Xenopus tropicalis: one gene and its partners. The protein of the gene in region 4 binds, or shares a complex with, the protein of the main gene of each other region. Links are inferred from orthologs where the notes say so. Each region holds a gene or a part of one and is shown on either strand. Other genes may lie near its edges.

Region 1 (5,179 bases), on a different chromosome or scaffold from region 4:
AGGGGGTAATATAATAACATGCACAAACTTTGCTTTAGGTCTAGTGACTCATAACAGCCAGGCATTAGCTTTCAAAGAGTAGATCAGTAAAAGCTGCCTATTAATTAGTTGTTATTGGTTACTATAACTGAACAAACATTGCGCCCGATATAACATGAAATTTCATAAACACTTCATTTATGTTATGGATGTTGACTTAACCTTAAGGCTAGTACAGCGTTCTCAACCTGTGGGTTGGGACTCCTTCGGGGGTCGACCCTTTCACAAGGGTCACCTAAGACCATCAGAAAACACATATTTCCGATGGTCTTGGGAATAATTTTATGGTTGGGGGTCACCACAACATGAGGAACTGTATTAAAGGGTCACGGCATTAGGAAGGTTGAGAACCACTGGGCTAGTAGGATGAAATGCTGTATGATAGCTTTCCTTGAGCCTTTGGCAAACCTTATTTTAGTCAGTCGTGCCACTTAGGCCAATACAATTGTAGATCTGATTATAGTTTTCTAATAATTTCCAAAACATTCGGTCAAGGCTGCTGAATTTTCCTGTAAACATAAAACCAGTTTGATTCCTTGCCTTGGTTCTTGTAAAATGGCAAATGGTAACTGGGCACAAAAGTTAATGACAGGCCACAGATTCTTGATCACAATTATCCTGATCCTTAACCACTGTGGGGAAACAAAGCAGGGCACAAAGCAAACCATTACATGTGAAGCACTACTACATAGATGTTGTGATCAAAGCTAAATCCTTTAGGAGGATTATCGACATAGAAATCAGGAAAATCCTGCAACTAAAGCACTTTTGTTTTCCACATTTCAGAAAAAACATTGCTAAAGCTGCTGATTTCTTGATGACAGATCACACGGGGTCTTAACAGCAAAGCAGGTTCAGCTTTATTGTTTCAATTTATTTTAAAAATGCCATCTAATTAAGACAATGTGATTTGACATGCCAGTAATAGAATGCAGCACTTATCTCTCATAAATGTAAATACACAGTCAGTTTTCTAATAGAGAACAAAACACAAAATGTTTCAAACTCACTGCATGGCCTTTGCTGTACCTTAGTAACTGCTCTTCGACACAATACACTGAAACCTACAAGATAACATACACTCAAATGAGACCCTGTCTGGTGCCTATTGAAGCAAAAGTGGTACCAGCTTGGCAAAGGACTATGCCACATACTGACAGAAACACATACAGTGCCTATAAAGACTTTAAAATTATTCAAATACAATACTTGGAGAACTTAGTCACAGATTTAATGGCTTTATGAAGCTTAATAGATTTTTTTAATGAAGTGGGTGAATAGTGGGAATCATTTGCAAACAAAGGGTTTGTTGGCTCTAGTGCAGGAACACTTATGCACAAATAACATTTGTGCTGTCTTTGTTTTTCCTACAGCTGTCTGAGAAAAGCAAATCACTGATTGCTATAGGTTGCTGCCCAGATGATAATTTGCCCAGCCTTAGCAGGGCTATGAATGTCCAGGTGAATTAATTCTTCAATCTCTCAGCATATGCAGACATACTTAAGGTATTTGAACAAATGTATCCATGGTGATAGTGGAAATCAAGGGTGCCCAGACTTACTGATATGGGGTCTAATTGTAGTGAAGTTATTACATGGTCTACCACCTCCTATGTTACGCTGCTATGATAAATGTTACTTTTTGTATTATAGTCCTGGAAAATAGAAAGCATTGTATTTAAACAAAATGCACCCATTTCTAAATCAATTGTTTTACAAATCTGAATAATGGGAAGTATACAGAAGGGTCTGTAGACACTGCTAGCTCACGTGATCTAGTGGTTACCAGCTCCAGATCTACAGCTGACTCCCTATTTGGACACCCCTAACCAGAGGGTGCCTTTACATAAAAAATGTTTTGTTGTGAATCAGTAAAAAAAATAAGGAAAATGCCTTTTTTGGCAACCAGAACACAAATACCTGTCCCTGTTTCCAGACAGGATGGGTGCAATAAAGTTATCTGTGTAGTACAACACTAACATCACTTCTGCATGAATGGGTTGCTGGCAAACATTTTTTAATAAAAATAAAGTATTGCTCACTGCTCAATCCAGTATTTTAACTCCATTATATATACTTAGATGCACTAAAACAAAAGAAATACTCTACAACAGTTATTAAGAATTATTGCAGCAAATTAGAAAATATAATTAGAAATATAATTGTATACATATATATATATACACACAAGTGTGGACAGATAACTATATCCAGTTATGCACCCATTTTAGAATCTATATTGCTATGCAACCAGTGGTCCAGTGGTAAAGGTGAAACACATTCATGAAATACATGAAACAGGATTTTCAGACACTATGGAACTGGTTTTTAGCAAGAAGCAGCTTTTCTAATTAGAGATAACGGTGCACTGTGCAGCTTCCATTACTCTACCTATGCCCCGGCATATCAAACAATCTGTAGCTTCTGTGGCAGTATTCTCAGATGATTGCAATAGTTCAGACAGGCTATACAAAACACAGACCACCAGTGAACAGTGCTGTCTAGCAGGACCCTCTGCCAATATTTTCCCTGCAGATTGCATACCTTATTCACCCCCTCCCCCTCCTGGTTTTAAAGAGGTACAGTGGTACTGGACACACATGCTCCCCGTTCATAGCCTGTAAGTGCAAAACTTACCTGGACAGCTTTGCTATCTTTCCAAACCCAAACACGTCCATGCATGCAGCTCCGCTTGCTTTGTTTCTTCATTCACAGAGCAACCTGATGTTATCACTGGTTTAAGTAAATATAGGCTTTCTACATCAGAATGCAGCACAATATCATCCCAGTTCTGCAGTTTGGGAATGAATCACTGATAAGAAGCATCGCTGTATTTCTTTATCCAGCCAAAATGAATTTTAAAGATGCAGTTCAACGACAGCTATTCTTCTATCACCCTACCGCACACTCACTTTAATACATGCTATTTTATGTTGCTTTGATTGTCTCCCTGTAGCTCCTGTAAGCATATTTGCTCAGATTTCTTCATTGAAGACTGCTGATCCCAGCCAGTGAAAGAGAAACAAGGAGGGGGGAGGTGGCAGGAACAGGCTGTGTGCAAGCAGTGAAGCAGCATACAGAAAGAAGGAAAGCTTTAGATACGCAGTAAATCACCTCTTCCTCTGCATAATGCTCATACTATTGCCTTCTGCGCCTCAAATCTTTTCATATCATTCAACAGCTGCTGGGGAACATACCTGCTGATAAATTTACAAGCCATACTGGCGTATATGGGAATTAAAAGCTTTCCTTCATTGGTGGTCTTACATTAAACATTATTGAATTATGCAATCAAAAGAATGGCTGGTAAATCCTTAGAACAAAATATTTTGAGAAGTCCTACGGTTTCACTAAAAGTACCTACAATGTCTCATTTAAATTGATAACATATTTTATGTATAATTCCCCTTTCATTTTAAATAGGCAAACCTTCCATGGACAGAATATATACAGTTTATTGTTAAGACAATACAAAAAATAGGCTTATTTATTTCTATAATGCCTTACTGTATATTGTTGCTTCCCAGGCTCCAGAATGCAAGCTATGTGGCAAAAATACTTATTGTGCCTCATTAACTGTATACCGTTCATCTCTTGCAATTGGACCCATGCATTAATGCCATGAAAGAACACAATAGCAATATTAAATTTTCAGTTTAATTAAATCATTTGTCTCCAAGAATTTGGAGCATATTTATCGATATTCAAATTTGACTTTGTACCGCATTTCAAGTTTTTTGTGGCAAAAATTTTAAATGTAAATATGAGTTTTCAAAACTATAATTTGAGATTTATTATAAGTGCAAAAAAGTGGAATATTAACAGTTCTTGTAAAAGTCAATGGGAGTTTATATGAATTTGAAATTTGGAAACATTGAAAATGTTAGTTTCTTTCCTGTTTCTCCATGATCAAGTTTTTGAAATTCAAGTTTAATTTAATAAATTAGCACACATTCAAGATTTTCTAGTTTGAATTTTTTTTCAATTTATAAAAAAAAGAAAACCACAAAAATACAATTTGTGATAAATCAACCTCTAAGGAGCAGATTTATCAAAATTTGAGTTTGGTGCTTAATGCTTAAAAAATAACCCACATTCTGTTAGAATTAGAATCCGATTATTAGAAGTGTATTTATCAATGGGTGAAAGTTAGAATTCACCATTTGACAAATACGCTTCTAAAAATCCCATAGGAATGAATAGAATGTGGGTGAGGTTTATTTATTAAGCTCTAAACTCACAATTTGATAAATCTGCCCCTTATACAAACTCAGTTTGTATAAATTCTGCTTTGTTTCTATTCAGAGCACTTAAAGTGATACTGACACTAAAAAATTACTTTTCAAAATATTAATTTACATTAAAAGTTGCCTATAGGTACACAACCTATAGGCAACTTTTAATGTAAATTAATATTTTGAAAAGTAATTTTTTAGTGTCAGTATCACTGCCATACTGGCAAAAGAATCCTATTGGCTTTATTTAATGTTTAAATGTTTTTTTTTACCAGACAAAATATGGTGATCGAAATTATGGAAAGATCCCTTATCCAGAAAATCCCAGGTCCCAAGCATTCTGGAAAATGAATCCTGTACCTGTACTACAGTATTTCCTATTTGAATTCTCTGCCAGTTTTGACAAAACAAAGCGTATTTATAGTTTTAGTCAAAACCAGAAATAGGATATTTTTGGTGAAATGAAATAGATCTAACTCATAAAGATTTGGAAAATGAATTGCTAAAACGACTGCATTCCATAAATACAAATGGGGGCAGTTTGTCTATATTTTTAGTCAATCTAGATCTACAATTGGCAGGCACTCAAACAGATAAGTATAGCTTACACAGCTCAAACCAAGCAATCTATGGTTGTTGAGGCCAAATGCTTTGAGACTTCTACAAAATCTTTATTAGATACCAGGAAATAAAAATAAATATTTATTGAGGTTAAAACATGCATAAAAATTACCATAGCAAAATAACTGCTCTTACTAAAAGTGATCTGCATTTTTCCAAGAGTCTTTAAACATGACAGTTTCTATAGCAACACATTTATATTTCTTGTCATGAAAGATAACATTTTATACATATGATATAACATTTAGGGTCTGAAATTTGTGGGCAGTTGGTAGAATATTTTCC
Region 2 (5,121 bases), about 110 Mb from region 4:
ATACTGTATAGTGGGCCCGTTATAGTGTGTATATACTGTATAGTGGGCCCGTTATAGTGTATATATACTGTATAGTGGGCCCGTTATAGTGTATATACTGTATAGTGGGCCCGTTATAGTGTGTATATACTGTATAGTGGGCCCGTTATAGTGTATATACTGTATAGTGGGCTCGTTATAGTGTATATATACTGTATAGTGGGCCCGTTATAGTGTGTATATACTGTATAGTGGGCCCGTTATAGTGTATATATACTGTATAGTGGGCCCGTTATAGTGTATATACTGTATAGTGGGCCCGTTATAGTGTATATATACTGTATAGTGGGCCCGTTATAGTGTATATATACTGTATAGTGGGCCCGTTATAGTGTATATACTGTATAGTGGGCCCGTTATAGTGTATATATACTGTATAGTGGGCCCGTTATAGTGTATATATACTGTATAGTGGGCCCGTTATAGTGTATATACTGTATAGTGTGCCCGTTATAGTGTATATATACTGTTTAGTGGGCCCGTTATAGTGTATATACTGTATAGTGGGCCCGTTATAGTGTGTATATACTGTATAGTGAGTGGTTCCCTAGCTTACTATAGGCACCATAGCAGCCCATGAGAAAGAAGATGGGGGGCTACTGGTGGCATTTTCAGCAGCACAGCTGTACTTTGGGGCTGGAACAGAAGCCTAAAACATAATGTGCAGCATTCCTTTGTTAAGTTTTAGGTTCCCTTTAGTCGCGTAAAGAACATGTTATTATGGGCAAAACCGCAGCTTCTTTCCCAGAAACATTTAAAACACTGATGTCTCTACCAACATATTTTAGAAGTGAAACACTTGACCTGAAATGGCTTTTATAGGAAATAGAAACAAGTTTCTGTATATATACTGTATATATACATATTGTATTACCCACCTACTGACTGTAATCACTCATATAATGTTTCTGTAGGGAAATGAGAGCAGGGCAGGCAGTAACCCTTCCAACACTTTCCCCTGTCTCTGCCCCTATATATTAGGTACCTACCTAGTGCTACCAACCCCTATTTCTGTAGGGAAATGAGAGCAGGGCAGGCAGTAACCCTTCCAACACTTTCCCCTGTCTCTGCCCCTATATATTAGGTACCTACCTAGTGCTACCAACCCCTATTTCTGTAGGGAAATGAGAGCAGGGCAGGCAGTAACCCTTCCAACACTTTCCCCTGTCTCTGCCCCTATATATTAGGTACCTACCTAGTGCTACCAACCCCTATTTCTGTAGGGAAATGAGAGCAGGGCAGGCAGTAACCCTTCCAACACTTTCCCCTGTCTCTGCCCCTATATATTAGGTACCTACCTAGTGCTACCAACCCCTATTTCTGTAGGGAAATGAGAGCAGAGCAGGCAGTAACCCTTCCAACACTTTCCCCTGTCTCTGCCCCTATATATTAGGTACCTACCTAGTGCTACCAACCCCTATTTCTGTAGGGAAATGAGAGCAGGGCAGGCAGTAACCCTTCCAACACTTTCCCCTGTCTCTGCCCCTATATATTAGGTACCTACCTAGTGCTACCAACCCCTATTTCTGTAGGGAAATGAGAGCAGGGCAGGCAGTAACCCTTCCAACACTTTCCCCTGTCTCTGCCCCTATATATTAGGTACCTACCTAGTGCTACCAACCCCTATTTCTGTAGGGAAATGAGAGCAGGGCAGGCAGTAACCCTTCCAACACTTTCCCCTGTCTCTGCCCCTATATATTAGGTACCTACCTAGTGCTGCCACTCTGTGTTTTTCTACAAAGCAGTTTTAGGGAATGAAATTGTTCATAATAATTCTAATAACATTTCTTTAAACCTCAAGTGCATTTTGTATCAGAAAAAACCTCATCTCAGTGTCACACACGTCCCGTCTGACCCAAACCGACCAATAAACGGCGCAATTACTCTCACAATTTTTTTTAAAAGGCAGAGCTCGGTGAGTAATGGGGGTCGATCCCCCCGCCTCCAATCCAGTTAGTGAATGTGCAGGGATTGACTATTACAGGGCTTGTTTACCTTTGAGTTAACTCTTAGAATGATATAAAGAGTAATATACTGAGACAAATTGCAATTGGTCTTCATTTTTTTTATTAATTGTAGTTTTTTTAATTATTTCACTTTTTGTTCGGCAGCTTTCCAGTTTGGTATTTCAGCAGCTATCTGGTTGCTAGTGTCCAAATTACCTTAGCAACCAGGGAGCAGTTTGAATGAGACATAGGAATATGAATAGGAGAGGGGCTGAATAGAAAGATAAGGAATAAAAAGTAACAATAACAATAAAACTGGAGCCTCACAGAGCAATAGGGTTTGGCTGCCGGGGTCAGTGACCCCCATTTGAAAGCTACAATGAGTGAGCAGAAGGCTGACTTATTATTTTTTTATTTACTTAAATAATAAAAAAAAAAAACATACAAAAATAATTAATGAAGACCAATTGAAAAGTTGCTAATTCTATTACATACTAAAAGTTTACTGAAAGAGGTGGTTCCCCTTCAAATTAACTTTGAGTATGTTATAGAATTAGCAACTTTTCAATTGGTCTTCATTATCTTTGCAGCTTTCAAATGCTTTCTATTGCTCTGTGAGGCTCCAGTTTTATTGTTATTGTTACTTTTTATTCCTTATCTTTCTATTCAGCCCCTCCCCTATTCATATTCCTGTGTCTCATTCAAACCACTCTGTGGTTGCTAAGGTAATTGGAGCCCTAGCAACAGGATAACTGACCCCGGCAGCCAAACCCTATTGCTCTGTGAGGCTCCAGTTTTATTATTATTGTTACTTTTTATTCCTTATCTTTCTATTCAGCTCCTCCCCTATTCATATTCCTGTGTCTCATTCAAATCACTCTGTGGTTGCTAAGGTAATTGGAGCCCTAGCAACAGGATAACTGACCCCGGCAGCCAAACCCTATTGCTCTGTGAGGCTCCAGTTTTATTGTTACTGTTACTTTTTATTCCTTATATTTCTATCCAGTCCCTCCCCTATTCATATCCTAATGTCTCACTCGCACCCCTGCTTGGTTGCTAGGATTGTTCGGACCCTAGCAACCCCACAGCTGCTGAAACGCCAAAGCGAAATAACCCAAATAAAGAAAAAATGAAGACCAATTGCAAAGTGTCTCAGAATATCTCTAAATAAACACCATTTGTGCTTCCCAGACCCCCCCCCCCCCGACGCTTTAGTTCATCTGCTATGAGATTTGTACTTACGTAGAGTTACAGGGGGGCCCCCAAATCCTCAGCCGGAGCTGCTCCTCCGCTTCCCTCGCTGCTCGGCCGGGATAACAAAAAGCCCCTTTTGTAACATTTACTCCCCAGTCGCAGCCGCTCTGCCCATCAAAAAAACCTCTGGCGCATAGTTTGGCTGACAGTTGGGCTCGGGCCCCCGGCCAATAACAGCCACTCGGTTGGTTCTATTTCTGTCCGGCCCTCGCACAGAAGCAGACTGGCGGCGGGGGCCCCTAACGAGCGCCCGTTGGTCGGGCTTTGAGGAGTGAAATTAGAGACCAACGGGGGGGGGGGGGGAAAAGGCCAAGTAAAATAATAATAATTCAGCAATTTTGTGCCGGGAGGGGGGGGGAACACTTTGCACCATGGGATAGGCTGGAAGAGTCTAACAACCCCCGGGGCAGGAGATATGGAACCTACAGAGCCCAGGGCAGGTGTTTCCCATAGAAATTCCAGCTCTTTGCCGGGCGGAACATTCCATAAAACTTTCCTGTCTTGAAATTCTGCCCCCCCCCCCCAAGGGGTTATTTTCCTTTCAGGGAGGTGCAATCCTGCGGCTTTTCCCTATAAACACTCCCAGAGCCTTGGAGACACATTCCAGCCTGTAAAACTCCAGCTGATGTTCATTCCTTCCTCATGTCCCCGGGAGTTGTCTGTTAGAAGTCATGAGTGAGAACTGACAGTGCACAGATTGCAATTGGTCTTCATGGGAAATGTCTATTAGAAGTCATGAGTGAGAACTGACAGTGCGCAGATTGCAATTGGTCTGCATGGGAAATGTCTATTAGAAGTCATGAGTGAGAACTGACAGTGCACAGATTGCAATTGGTCTTCATGGGAAATGTCTATTAGAAGTCATGAGTGAGAACTGACAGTGCACAGATTGCAATTGGTCTTCATGGGAAATGTCTATTAGAAGTCATGAGTGAGAACTGACAGTGCGCAGATTGCAATTGGTCTGCATGGGAAATGTCTATTAGAAGTCATGAGTGAGAACTGGCAGTGCGCAGATTGCAATTGGTCTTCATGGGAAATGTCTATTAGAAGTCATGAGTGAGAACTGACAGTGCACTGACTGCAATTGGTCTGCATGGGAAATGTCTATTAGAAGTCATGAGTGAGAACTGACAGTGCACAGATTGCAATTGGTCTTCATGGGAAATGTCTATTAGAAGTCATGAGTGAGAACTGACAGTGCACAGATTGCAATTGGTCTTCATGGGAAATGTCTATTAGAAGTCATGAGTGAGAACTGACAGTGCACTGACTGCAATTGGTCTGCATGGGAAATGTCTATTAGAAGTCATGAGTGAGAACTGACAGTGCACAGATTGCAATTGGTCTTCATGGGAAATGTCTATTAGAAGTCATGAGTGAGAACTGACAGTGCGCAGATTGCAATTGGTCTTCATGGGAAATGTCTATTAGAAGTCATGAGTGAGAACTGACAGTGCACTGACTGCAATTGGTCTGCATGGGAAATGTCTATTAGAAGTCATGAGTGAGAACTGACAGTGCACAGATTGCAATTGGTCTTCATGGGAAATGTCTATTAGAAGTCATGAGTGAGAACTGACAGTGCACAGATTGCAATTGGTCTTCATGGGAAATGTCTATTAGAAGTCATGAGCGAGAACTGACAGATTGCAATTGGTCTTCATGGGAAATGTCTATTAGAAGTCATGAGTGAGAACTGACAGTGCACAGATTGCAATTGGTCTTCATGGGAAATGTCTATTAGAAGTTATGAGTGAGAAGTGACAGTGCACAGATTGCAATTGGTCTTCATGGGAAATGTCTATTAGAAGTCATGAGTGAGAACTGACAGTGCGCAGATTGCAATTGGTCTGCATGGGAAATGTCTATTAGAAGTTAT
Region 3 (4,461 bases), on a different chromosome or scaffold from region 4:
AAATAATGAAGACCAATTGAAAGGTTGCTTAAAATAGACCATTCTATAACATACTATTAATTAGCTTAAAGGTGAACCCCCCCATGTATAGTTCCAAGAGCCACAAGCCGGGGGGGGGCAGACAAACTGTAAGAGGCAGGAAGCTCTTTATCACATATACAGACAGGGGAAGTTGGGCAAATGTGCACCAATCAGGCGGTTCCTCTATGAACAGGTCTCTCGTGCCAATGTTATGGAGCAGGAGAGGAAAGGCTGTACCGCCCCTTATGCAATAACAACACTATTCCTGCTCTGTGATTGGCCCATTGGGAACCCCATGTTTGCTAGCTGTACGTGAAGCTTCCGCTGGCACAATGGGGGTCAGTATTTGAGCAGCAAAGATCCCGGCCGTAATGGCTGCCCCTTCCCAGGTGCTGATGGGACCCGAAACCAGTGCAGGAGAACCCACTAAAAAGGACACCCCAAGAAGCAAAGAGGAGAACAGGAAGGGCAGAAATATCAGGACAGGGAACAAATCCACCCTACAGATGTACGAGACTGCAGGACAGACAGCAATGCACCTGTGCAGCTACCCCTCCCCGGCCACACCCACAGGCAACACCTACCTGTATCTGCAGCTCCTGCCCCACCTGAGAGGGATCAGAGAACATTATTGGTACCTGAAAGCAAATTGTGCCCCACAATACTGCCCTGTGTCATCACATTCAGGGGCAAAGATCAGACAACTGCCGATACACCGCACTGACTGCTTCCCCAGATATTAAAGGGTAACTATACACCTGGCTGACATGATCTCATTCAGTAGGATTATATATCTGTATACCGACGGCTCCATCGACAGGCACAGCATTATGGCCTGTGTGGGGCTACACGGAGAGGATATTGGGCAAAAATACATATTTTTACATTTCCGTGCCAGTATCGACTCAGTGTAGCTCCGCCCAGGCTGAGGAGCACATGACAGCAGATCTACCCCCCATCCCGATACCGACCTTGGTTGAAGCTTTGGGGGACTTTGCAGTGGAGGCCCTCGGAGACCGCCTGCTGGGTGACTTCCGGAGAGAGCGGTGCGGGGATTTGCCTGAAGTGCTGCCGGCGCTGCCACTTGCCCCCCGCCCCCGGGGGCTATTTTTGGGAGTCGTTTTCTTGTTGAGGCCTCTCTTCAGGAGGCTGTTGCCCAGCTTTCTGGGGGTGTTGAAAATGCTAAATGCTGTAGACTGACGGCGAGTGGGCTGCGCCTGCTGAAACGGGAGCAAAAGACTGTGTGAAATTCATATGAACATACCGCTTTATGGCACTGCAGTATTATTGGTACAAACAGTGACAAACCCCTAACTTCATCCGTTGCTGCCCTGATTTCATTGGTTTATAGGGACAGTGGCGCTGCCCTGATTTCATTGGTTTATAGGGACAGTGGCGCTGCCCTGATTTCATTGGTTTATAGGGACAGTGGCGCTGCCCTGATTTCATTGGTTTATAGGGACAGTGGCGCTGCCCTCCATCCCTGGGAACGTGAGAGCAATGGCCTGTCCCCTGGGACTCAGCGCACACAAGATGGTGTATAATGGTTGGTAAATGCATGAGAATTAGCAGCTCACCTGATGGCTGGAGTTTCCTTTGCTTTCCACAGTGGACAATCTGCGTGCGTCGTGTTTATCCTTTGGGGTCATGGGCCGAGGAAAGCAAGTGGCAGACTTCTTGGCCTGTAAGTAATACGGAAAGTTAGTTCTATAGAGCAGCAGAGCCACTAGCCCTTTAGCCCAAGTACAAACATGGAATGGCAAAGCTGCTCACTTCTGGGGTGTCTGGGCCAAGGTGAGACTCCTCGGACACGCGCTTCATCTGCTGCCTGGTGCTGATGCTGGGTCCCCTCATATGTTCAGAGGCAGCCAAGCTCATTCTGCGGGTACTGCCTGTGGACTCTTGTATCTGGGAGGGCAGCATGGTGGCTCTCCTGAGCGTCTCTTTAGGGTCTCCCAACTTGACCTCTTCATCGGTAATGGTGGAGCTTAAGAGTGACGGCTGAAAATGGATTGTGTGTTTTAGTTTAACAATTAACTTGATAAATTGCCCTAAAAACTCTTGCGACACACAGTGCTGATCCAAGCAATCAAGTCTCGCACTCCCATTGGTATTAAAGGTCCCCATACACTGGCAGATCTGCTTCCTTGCCGATCTTCTCCCGATACCCCCACCTACAGGATTTACGACGGGCATAGGTAAAGATTTTCTAGCCTGCCCGATCGAGATCTGGCCGATTTCAGGACAGATATCAGTCGGGCAGGCCCATCGGAAGTGCCCATACACGGGCCGATTAGCTGCCGAATTGGTCTAAGGGACCCATATCGGCAGCTAGAATCGGCCCGTGTATGGGGGGGCCTTAACCCTAGGGATGCTCTACCCCTACCCAAAGACAGCAGCCGTGCAGCTAAAGATATGCCCAGTACTTGTGCAATAGAACAGATACGCACCCTGGACTCCAGTGGGTAGGAAGTCTTGAGGTGGGGTGGGCAGGCCTTGTTCCGGGCCTGCAACTCAGCGATCCGGTTCCAGTCTTCCTGTGGGTCTGGCTCATCCTGGCACGTGCTCATGTAGAAACTGCTTCGGCCTGAAAGGAACAACATGGGGCTGAGGCTGCGGGGTTGTTATCACACACAGGGTGCAGGTATGGGGGAAGCATACAGAGCTGTTGGAGTGAGTTCTGTAAGGGGGCTATAGAGAACAGACTACACATCAGGCACGTAAGGGAACAGGCAACTACCTCCAGTTTGTGAAAGCCTTGCAGATCTACGCGTGGGGGGTCGGTAACCAGGTAAATTCATCAATACGGAGTTATTAAAGCTGTCATCAGAGAACTGTTCTGTCTTGGCCAGGGATTCCTGGGATGGGAGGCTGGCCAGGGCTGGGGCAGAAACCGCTGCCTGAGGACGCCCAGGCCTCCGGGGCTTCTGCTGGTGGAGACTCTGATAGGACGGAGCGGAGCGCAGGCTGTAGAATGACGTGTTGGCACTCTCTGCTTCCGGTTCCTCCTTTGTCTTCTGAAATGAAACCATAATGCAAATTTAATGGACACCCTACTCAAGACATGAATTCTTTCCCAATAACATTAGGAGAAATATCAATGTAAGAACCCTCGGCACTGACCAATATCTCCATCTGGGGGAACACAAGAAGCAGTGACCTGAGCAATGATTGGTTTGAGGTATGGAATCTCCAATATGGCAGCCAGTATGTTTGAAACTAATCCAGTTCTCAGTGAGGGCTGTTCCTAGGGCTCCCAGACCAAATGGAGATGGCTCGGCCCCCAGGATGTGGCATTGGACATAAGCTACAAAGTGCCACTATCTCCCATGCTGACTGTCACCATGGTGACTTCTGGGCCCCACATTGGCAACTGCTCTGCTCCCTGACTCAAAGCCCCCGATTCCCCCCACGCCGACACTTTCTCCTTACCTTGGTCATTGTGATGTTAATGATCTGGGTGGTGCGTCTCCTTGCAGACCGCGTTTTCTTGCTGGAGTCTAGGGACAGGTCCCCAATGGAACCAAGGCTACTTTCCAGTTTGGACTGTGCCCGGGTTGGAATAGGTGTGAAGTAGAGGCTTTCCAGAGACTCCACCTTTTTGGGCAGTTGGCCTGTGGTAGGAGACTCCATGCTGCTGGCATGTACTGACGATGTGGCAGGTTCCTCGTTGCAGCGGCCATTCTTACTGTGATAAATAAAATGCATATATTAGGGTACATTTCTGGTGGGTCAGGGACACACACAGCATTTGTTTTTGAAAATTGATCAGCTTTTCATGTCTAAAATGCATCTCTGCTCAAATGAACTTATGTTCTATCCTTGCTTTAACGGCAGATTTGGGTGTGCAGAAAGATGAGCTATTGCTCCAATGCTTTACTGCCCCCTAGCTGCAAGACTCAGCCAGCCAAGTGTCTTGTACATATTCCTATTTGTTTATTTGGCTACTATATAATGTCAGTATCTGCTGCACTGCATACAAAACAGTACAGACAGGAGGAACCAGCATTACATAAATATAGTCACAATAAATGCCACATTCAGAGAGACATATGAAGCTGTAGCCAGGCCCGGACTGACAAGCTGTGGGTTCTGGCAAATGCCATAAGGGCTGCTGTAAGATGCCAGACACTCACTATTATTGGGCCTCTGTGTACATTAAATGACGGGGCCCATTATGAATCCCAGTCCGGACCTGGCTGCAGGTTTCTGCCCTGTACAGCTTACAATCCGACTGCCTTTATCACATTAGTAAAGTAGCAGTGCTGCAGGTCTCGAGTAATAGAATAATAGGGAGGGAGGACTGCTATTAGCAGTTACACAGGGCCCGAGGGGCCATCCAGGACTACTGGAAAGAAGGCAAAGTAGGGAAGCATAAAGGGTTCCCCAGAAGCTAACACCCCAGGGTGTGCTCGGAGCAGAAGCTACATCTGAAGGGAC
Region 4 (5,130 bases):
AGAAGTATTGGTTGCTTTATATGTTACTCTGTATGTCCAATGTATAAAACCCACTTATTGTACAGCGCTGCGGAATATGTTGGCACTTTATAAATAAATGTTAATAATAATTAAAAGACAATCCATTTACAAAGAAGAGATTGTTACTGCTGTGGCAGTGTTTGCAAAAAAAAAAAAGCACTTTAGAGTATTAAGAAAAACTTAATACTCTAAAAATAAGGGAGCTGATCACTTCATCTATAAATGCATTGAGTTCTGACCCTATAACAAGGCGAGCGGTCTCCACTCAGACCTGGATGACTGGGGGGAGGTGGGAAAGCAGGGTTGGACTGGGAGGTGCATGGCCCACTGGGTGCACACACCCCAGGGGCCCCTTATGCCCACCCAACCCCCTCTCCCCCGCATTATACTTAACTTCAACATGATCAGGGGAGGGAGATCAGTGGGAGAATGCCGACAGGGATCAGGTCTGGGTTGGCAGGTTTCTTCCTGGTTCCCCCCGGCCCAGTCCGACTCTGTGGAAGAGAACCTCTATTTCCCACTGATAAATTCTAGTGATAGGCTAATCCAAATAAAAATTATACATCAAACCTATCCAACACCCAAGAAACTGCATTTAATGGGTCAGTCTGAACATCAGATGCCTTTTCTGCAATAACCCTGACACCGACTAGTATGGTACTGTCCGGCCATCCAGAGATTCTGGCGACAAGTTACGCACTTCTTCTCAGATGAACTCTCCTTACCGCTAGTTTTAAACCCAATGACCTGTTTGTCGGGCTTTGTTTATTATTTGATACCCATGAAAACTTGTAGACTACTTATAAGGGCTGTGACAGACGGGGAGATTAGTCGCTGCTACAAATCTCCCTTGTCGCGGGCGACTAATCTCCCCGAAATGCCATCCCACTGGCTACAATTATTAGCGAAACGTGAAAAACGACGAGTAGGTCATTTCACATTCTCTTTTCTCCTAAATCAGCCATCCTTTCCTCTCTCAACAGTGTATGTATATATATATTTATATAGTGCTACTTATGTACTCAGTGCTGTACAGTAGAACAATAAATTAATAAAACAAACGGGGTTTTTAAAATAATAATAGATAAATACAAGGTACAGAAGATTCAAAGAGACAAGCGGATGGAGGTCCCTGCCCCGTAGAACTTACAATCTAAGTGAAAAACCTGACCCTTGTATGCACAAAAATCAAGTACCTCAAAGTACAAATATACTAAATGTGATTTCATTTCTCCCAGCCCCAGTTTGCACGAAATCGCTTTTACTTTTTTGGTCAAATTGGAAGCTCAGACTCGCACGGAAACAGGTTGCGTTGGCAACAAGGACACGTCTTTATTTTTTGGCAGAAGTTGAAACACCAAAAGCAGAGTCTATTGTGAAAGCGGGAATTGCTGTAAACTACCAAGAAAATAAATTGTTTTATTCTCCTTCCCCGGCACTAGAAAAGCTGCGAAAACGAAAAAGGCAATCTCTGACGGTGAAACAAGTGGGAGCGAACAAACAGCGGGGTCAGTATGCGGGCTAGCATTGGGCAATGAGATTCTAGTGGCAGCGGCCACAGCTAGCAACCAACACAAAACACACAGTCTCGTTACTTCCTAGCAAAAGCATAAGCTGCACAGAAAATAAAAGATTGTGACCGGACGCCCAAAGCCTACTGCAACCAGCACAGCCTACACAACGCTCCTCTCCCGGCCTACACAACGCTCCTCTCCCGGCCTACACAACGCTCCTCTCCCGGCCTACACAACGCTCCTCTCCCGGCCTACACAACGCTACTCTCCTAGCCTTGCGCGCCGCTGGTATACTATACTTGTGGTGTGACGTCACGCTCTCGCGAGATGAGACCTGAGTGTGGGGAGGAGCTATACGGGAGGGGAGGAGCTGTACGGGAGGAGTCAGGGAGCTACATGTTAACGGCTCTGCGGGACTTTTAAACAGCGACCCGGGATTGTGGGCTACTGGCTCTGTTAAGAAAATCGGAAGTGTCCCCGGATTATTGTGCGGCATGCAGGCTGGCTGGGTATGCTGGGAGCCGTAATATAACTGGGACGATCTGCAGCTCTCTGTGTCATTAGTTCCTTCAGCCTCGTCCTTGGAACGGAGTCACGCAGCGAGATTCCCGGGGCTACAGCTCAGATACACCTGGAGCCGAGGTTAGTCCCTCACAGCGGTCTGTGCTGAATGCGATGGGACACTCATGCTTCCTATTGAGCTACTTAGTAGCTTCCTATTGTAGCCAGTGGGGACGTGTTGCCTCTACTCTCTGCTACATGTACAGTTGTGATGGGAATTGTATGCCCTGCATTCTCTTGCATGTGTGTAAGACCCAGCATCACCCAGTTTGCCCATATATATTACAGTTGAACTGGATCGTACCTCATGACTTGTAGGAGTCACTGAGAGTGAATGAGGGAGCCAGTACTTGCTGTGTGATCCTGTTGCCAGGGGATACAGCTGCTCCAGCAAGATGCATTTTTGGGATTCACTTGTTGTACTGACATTACAAAATGATGATATCTGCATCCTCATTAAGTCTGAACCTGAATGTCTCCTGAGTCACTTTCTGTTCATAGTCATCATCATCATAGCTGGGTGCAGCAGCCTATCTATACACATAGGTGTGGGGCTTGGCTTCACCCTGCTGATTCAAGCTAAATGTTTAATGTAAGCATTTACTTCAGACTTCTCATCATCCCTTGAACATAATATTATACAGGGGTAAATGTTGTAGTTTACCTTATTGGGGCATGGTTACAAACCATAACTTTGTTTCTTTGTTTTTCTTCAGTGCGGCTTTTCTGCACCCTGTAACCAGGAAAGCTGTAAAACCAAGGCAGCCCCAAAAGGTATTTACTTTATTGGTGATTGTGTTAGTAAAATATATCGCACAATACTCTGCAGTTATGAGTATAATATGGCATTGCAAATCATTCTTTGAAAGAACTCGGACCTTATTGTCTTGTCCCACTATTCTTGCTGCCTTTCGGATCTATGTACACTCTTTGTTTTTGTTCGATTTTTGCTGGTTGACCAGAGCATCCTTGTTTCCAAAGTCGTTAACGTCCATTAAAATGAACTGAGAAATGGTTGATGAACCCAATACAGTGGTGTCTAGTTTAGCTCAGAGCAATTTATAGCCATGTCACACTGGTAGCTTGTGTTCAACAAATGAACTGAAACCAAAATTTGGCTCAAATGTGACAAATGGCCACATGGGACTGTCAACTGGCTTGTCTAGCCAGCTATATTTTCCCAGCAGCAAAAGTCACTGGTAGGAAAAAACAAACGGCTGTTTGTACTATGGGGGGGCAATACAAATTGTAACACCTTAACCCATAGCTGCATTGTCTGGCTGTATTTAACATCCCAGCAGCTTTATTCCTCTGTCAGTCAGCATTGAGATCCTGATGAGTGCCTGCCTCTCCTCTGTCACAGTCTCTAACAGGTAAGACCAGTGCATTTGCTGTGCCTCTCTTGAACAGATGATTTTATGGTTCAGAAAGTGGGCACAAGTTACTTGTGTGACATAAACTGTGAATTCAGAATCTAATCCTACGCTAATTAATAACCTGGTGAACGAAAGAACTTTAACTCCTTTGAATAACTTGGACAAATATGATACATTTGTATTTAGTAGATTGAAATGTTTTAGTAATATATAATATGTGAATGTTGGTGAGACTATGCAAGCAGGAAGTTTGACCTAATCTTTCCTACCGTACTACTATGAATAAACTTTATGACAGATTTTTTTTTTCTAATAAGAACAGGTTTTTCCTGCTCTCGGAAATACATTTCATTATCGTTTGGGGCAGATTTTGACATGGCCACCACACAAGCCTTGGATATAGGATTTAGTAGCTAGGGTTATGGACAAAGTTTGCTTCAGTTTAGCAATAAAAATCAAATGTTTGCTAGCCTTTTTCTAAATTTACAATCCAGGCTTCACTTGATTTTCTTTTTAAACTTGAATACATGGATTTACCAAGGTCTTTATATAGCTTTAGGTATTCTAACCACCATGCTTAAGGGTATGTTTGTACTGGAAAAAGAGAACTTTGTTTTTGTGAAGACTGCGTCATCTCTTTCTTCAAGTCTTCTCTGAAATGGATTGTCAAGTATCAGTCTTGTCAATGCCTTTAACTGATAAGTAAGCCTTTATCACAAAAGCCCCTAAAAAGACTCCATACAAAACTCTAGAAAAAAAAATAGGTTTACTAATTCTATAACAATAATATTACCTATAACTCAGAACTACTTTCCCCTGACTGAACTCGTAATTATATCCTTATGCTTCTTTACACAATAAGTTGTCTCTAATTTCTTTCTGTCCTCCCTTTTTTAGCTGGTTTCTAAGTTCCTCATAGTTCTCCCCAGGGGGTATTAAGGTGGCCATACACATACCAATTACGATCTTTCCTGCAAATATAGGGCATGGTGGGACTGACCTGCAGACTGTGTATTTACAGAAGTGTGCATTCATATTGGCTTCTGTAAAAATGTTTTCTCTTGTGGCAGGCATTGATGTGCATTATATAAAATTTACACATCTGGCTGCAAACATTTTCTAGGTCCAAAGGACACTTCTTTGTTCTTACCTTCCTCAATTTACTATCTGCATTTGATAAAGAATAGACCCTTTTCTTCTTATGCAAAAGTTAAATTCTCTTGATATCCATAATAAAGCTACATCCTGGTTTCCTTTTTTTTTTTTTTTTTTTTTTTAACCTTTCTATCTTTGTCTAGTACATGAACATAAACTTGTCACTGTACCCCTGAGTCTGGGAGCTATTAAAGGCCCTTTACTCAGCTCGCTTTTGCACTCCCTATACATTATATATTTAGTAAACCTGAAACATTAAATTGGCTTTAAAGGGGTAGTTCACTTTCCTAACTTTTTTTTTCAGTTTCATTCCATACTTTGAGAATAATGACCTAATGAGCATGATATCTAAGTTTTGTTCAAGTGGTTATATTAGTTGTATTCATCTGGCACTGCTGAGAAATCAGTCAATTAACGTAGCAAAATCTAACAGGTTAGAGAGTCTGCACCAAAAAAGAGCTGCTTTCTCTTTGATTCTTCCTTTTGGTTTTGTAGTCAAGTGA

Evidence for each region.
Region 1: the proteins of gpsm2 (region 4) and frmpd4 are in contact, whole or in part, in a crystal structure (PDB 4WND), measured with the Homo sapiens proteins. The link is inferred for Xenopus tropicalis from reciprocal best matches to the Homo sapiens genes GPSM2 and FRMPD4. Residues at the interface, in NP_001307967.1 of Homo sapiens: Leu25, Ala28, Leu29, Glu32, Asp57, Lys59, Thr60, Ser62, Ala63, Ile64, Ser66, Gln67, Asn70, Phe73, Tyr74, His85, Asp88, Ala92, Gly100, Lys103, Asn107, Asn110, Thr111, Lys113, His128, Arg143, Tyr146, Asn147, Asn150, His153; in NP_055543.2 of Homo sapiens: Gln988, Leu989, Leu990, His991, Ser992, His994, Met995, Glu996, Met997, Glu998, Pro999, Glu1000, Thr1001, Met1002, Glu1003, Thr1004, Lys1005, Ser1006, Val1007, Thr1008, Asp1009, Tyr1010, Phe1011, Ser1012.
Region 2: the proteins of gpsm2 (region 4) and insc are in contact, whole or in part, in a crystal structure (PDB 3RO3), measured with the Mus musculus proteins. The link is inferred for Xenopus tropicalis from reciprocal best matches to the Homo sapiens genes GPSM2 and INSC. Residues at the interface, in NP_083798.2 of Mus musculus: Asn210, Tyr213, Leu214, Phe218, Arg242, Ser246, Asn247, Asn250, Ile253, Phe254, Tyr265, Gln283, Tyr286, Ser287, Asn290, Thr291, Thr293, Leu294, Arg323, Trp326, Ser327, Asn330; in XP_006507722.1 of Mus musculus: Val72, Asp73, Ser74, Val75, Arg77, Trp78, Met79, Asp81, Leu82, Lys83, Leu84, Met85, Thr86, Glu87.
Region 3: the proteins of gpsm2 (region 4) and numa1 are in contact, whole or in part, in a crystal structure (PDB 6HC2), measured with the Homo sapiens proteins. The link is inferred for Xenopus tropicalis from reciprocal best matches to the Homo sapiens genes GPSM2 and NUMA1. Residues at the interface, in NP_001307967.1 of Homo sapiens: Ala28, Leu29, Glu32, Cys35, Lys36, Phe47, Lys59, Thr60, Ser62, Ala63, Ile64, Ser66, Gln67, Asn70, Ala71, Phe73, Asn110, Lys113, Tyr146, His153, Lys157, Pro164, Gln165, Arg203, Gly206, Asn207, Asn210, Tyr213, Leu214, Arg228; in NP_006176.2 of Homo sapiens: Ser1901, Phe1902, Tyr1903, Met1904, Gly1905, Thr1906, Cys1907, Gln1908, Asp1909, Glu1910, Pro1911, Glu1912, Leu1914, Asp1916, Trp1917, Asn1918, Arg1919, Ile1920, Ala1921, Leu1923.

What each region holds. Positions count from the first base shown.
Region 1 is NC_030678.2:106,369,887-106,375,065, forward strand, and holds the start of frmpd4 (FERM and PDZ domain-containing protein 4), read right to left. Parts: upstream 3,077-5,179; 5' UTR 2,717-3,076; coding exon 2,676-2,716; intron 1-2,675. UniProt on the Homo sapiens protein: Positive regulator of dendritic spine morphogenesis and density. Required for the maintenance of excitatory synaptic transmission. Binds phosphatidylinositol 4,5-bisphosphate.
Region 2 is NC_030680.2:3,251,976-3,257,096, forward strand, and holds the start of insc (protein inscuteable homolog), read right to left. Parts: upstream 3,524-5,121; 5' UTR 3,228-3,523; intron 1-3,227. UniProt on the Homo sapiens protein: May function as an adapter linking the Par3 complex to the GPSM1/GPSM2 complex. Involved in spindle orientation during mitosis. May regulate cell proliferation and differentiation in the developing nervous system.
Region 3 is NC_030678.2:178,876,183-178,880,643, reverse strand, and holds part of numa1 (nuclear mitotic apparatus protein 1), read right to left. Parts: intron 3,710-4,461; coding exon 3,454-3,709; intron 3,039-3,453; coding exon 2,762-3,038; intron 2,609-2,761; coding exon 2,472-2,608; intron 2,023-2,471; coding exon 1,795-2,022; intron 1,704-1,794; coding exon 1,599-1,703; intron 1,242-1,598; coding exon 993-1,241; intron 630-992; coding exon 606-629; intron 1-605. UniProt on the Homo sapiens protein: Microtubule (MT)-binding protein that plays a role in the formation and maintenance of the spindle poles and the alignement and the segregation of chromosomes during mitotic cell division.
Region 4 is NC_030680.2:112,001,889-112,007,018, reverse strand, and holds the start of gpsm2 (G-protein-signaling modulator 2), read left to right. Parts: upstream 1-1,884; 5' UTR 1,885-2,177; intron 2,178-2,812; exon of another isoform or gene 2,813-2,870; intron 2,871-3,375; exon of another isoform or gene 3,376-3,431; coding exon of another isoform or gene 3,432-3,469; intron 3,470-5,130. UniProt on the Homo sapiens protein: Plays an important role in mitotic spindle pole organization via its interaction with NUMA1. Required for cortical dynein-dynactin complex recruitment during metaphase. Plays a role in metaphase spindle orientation.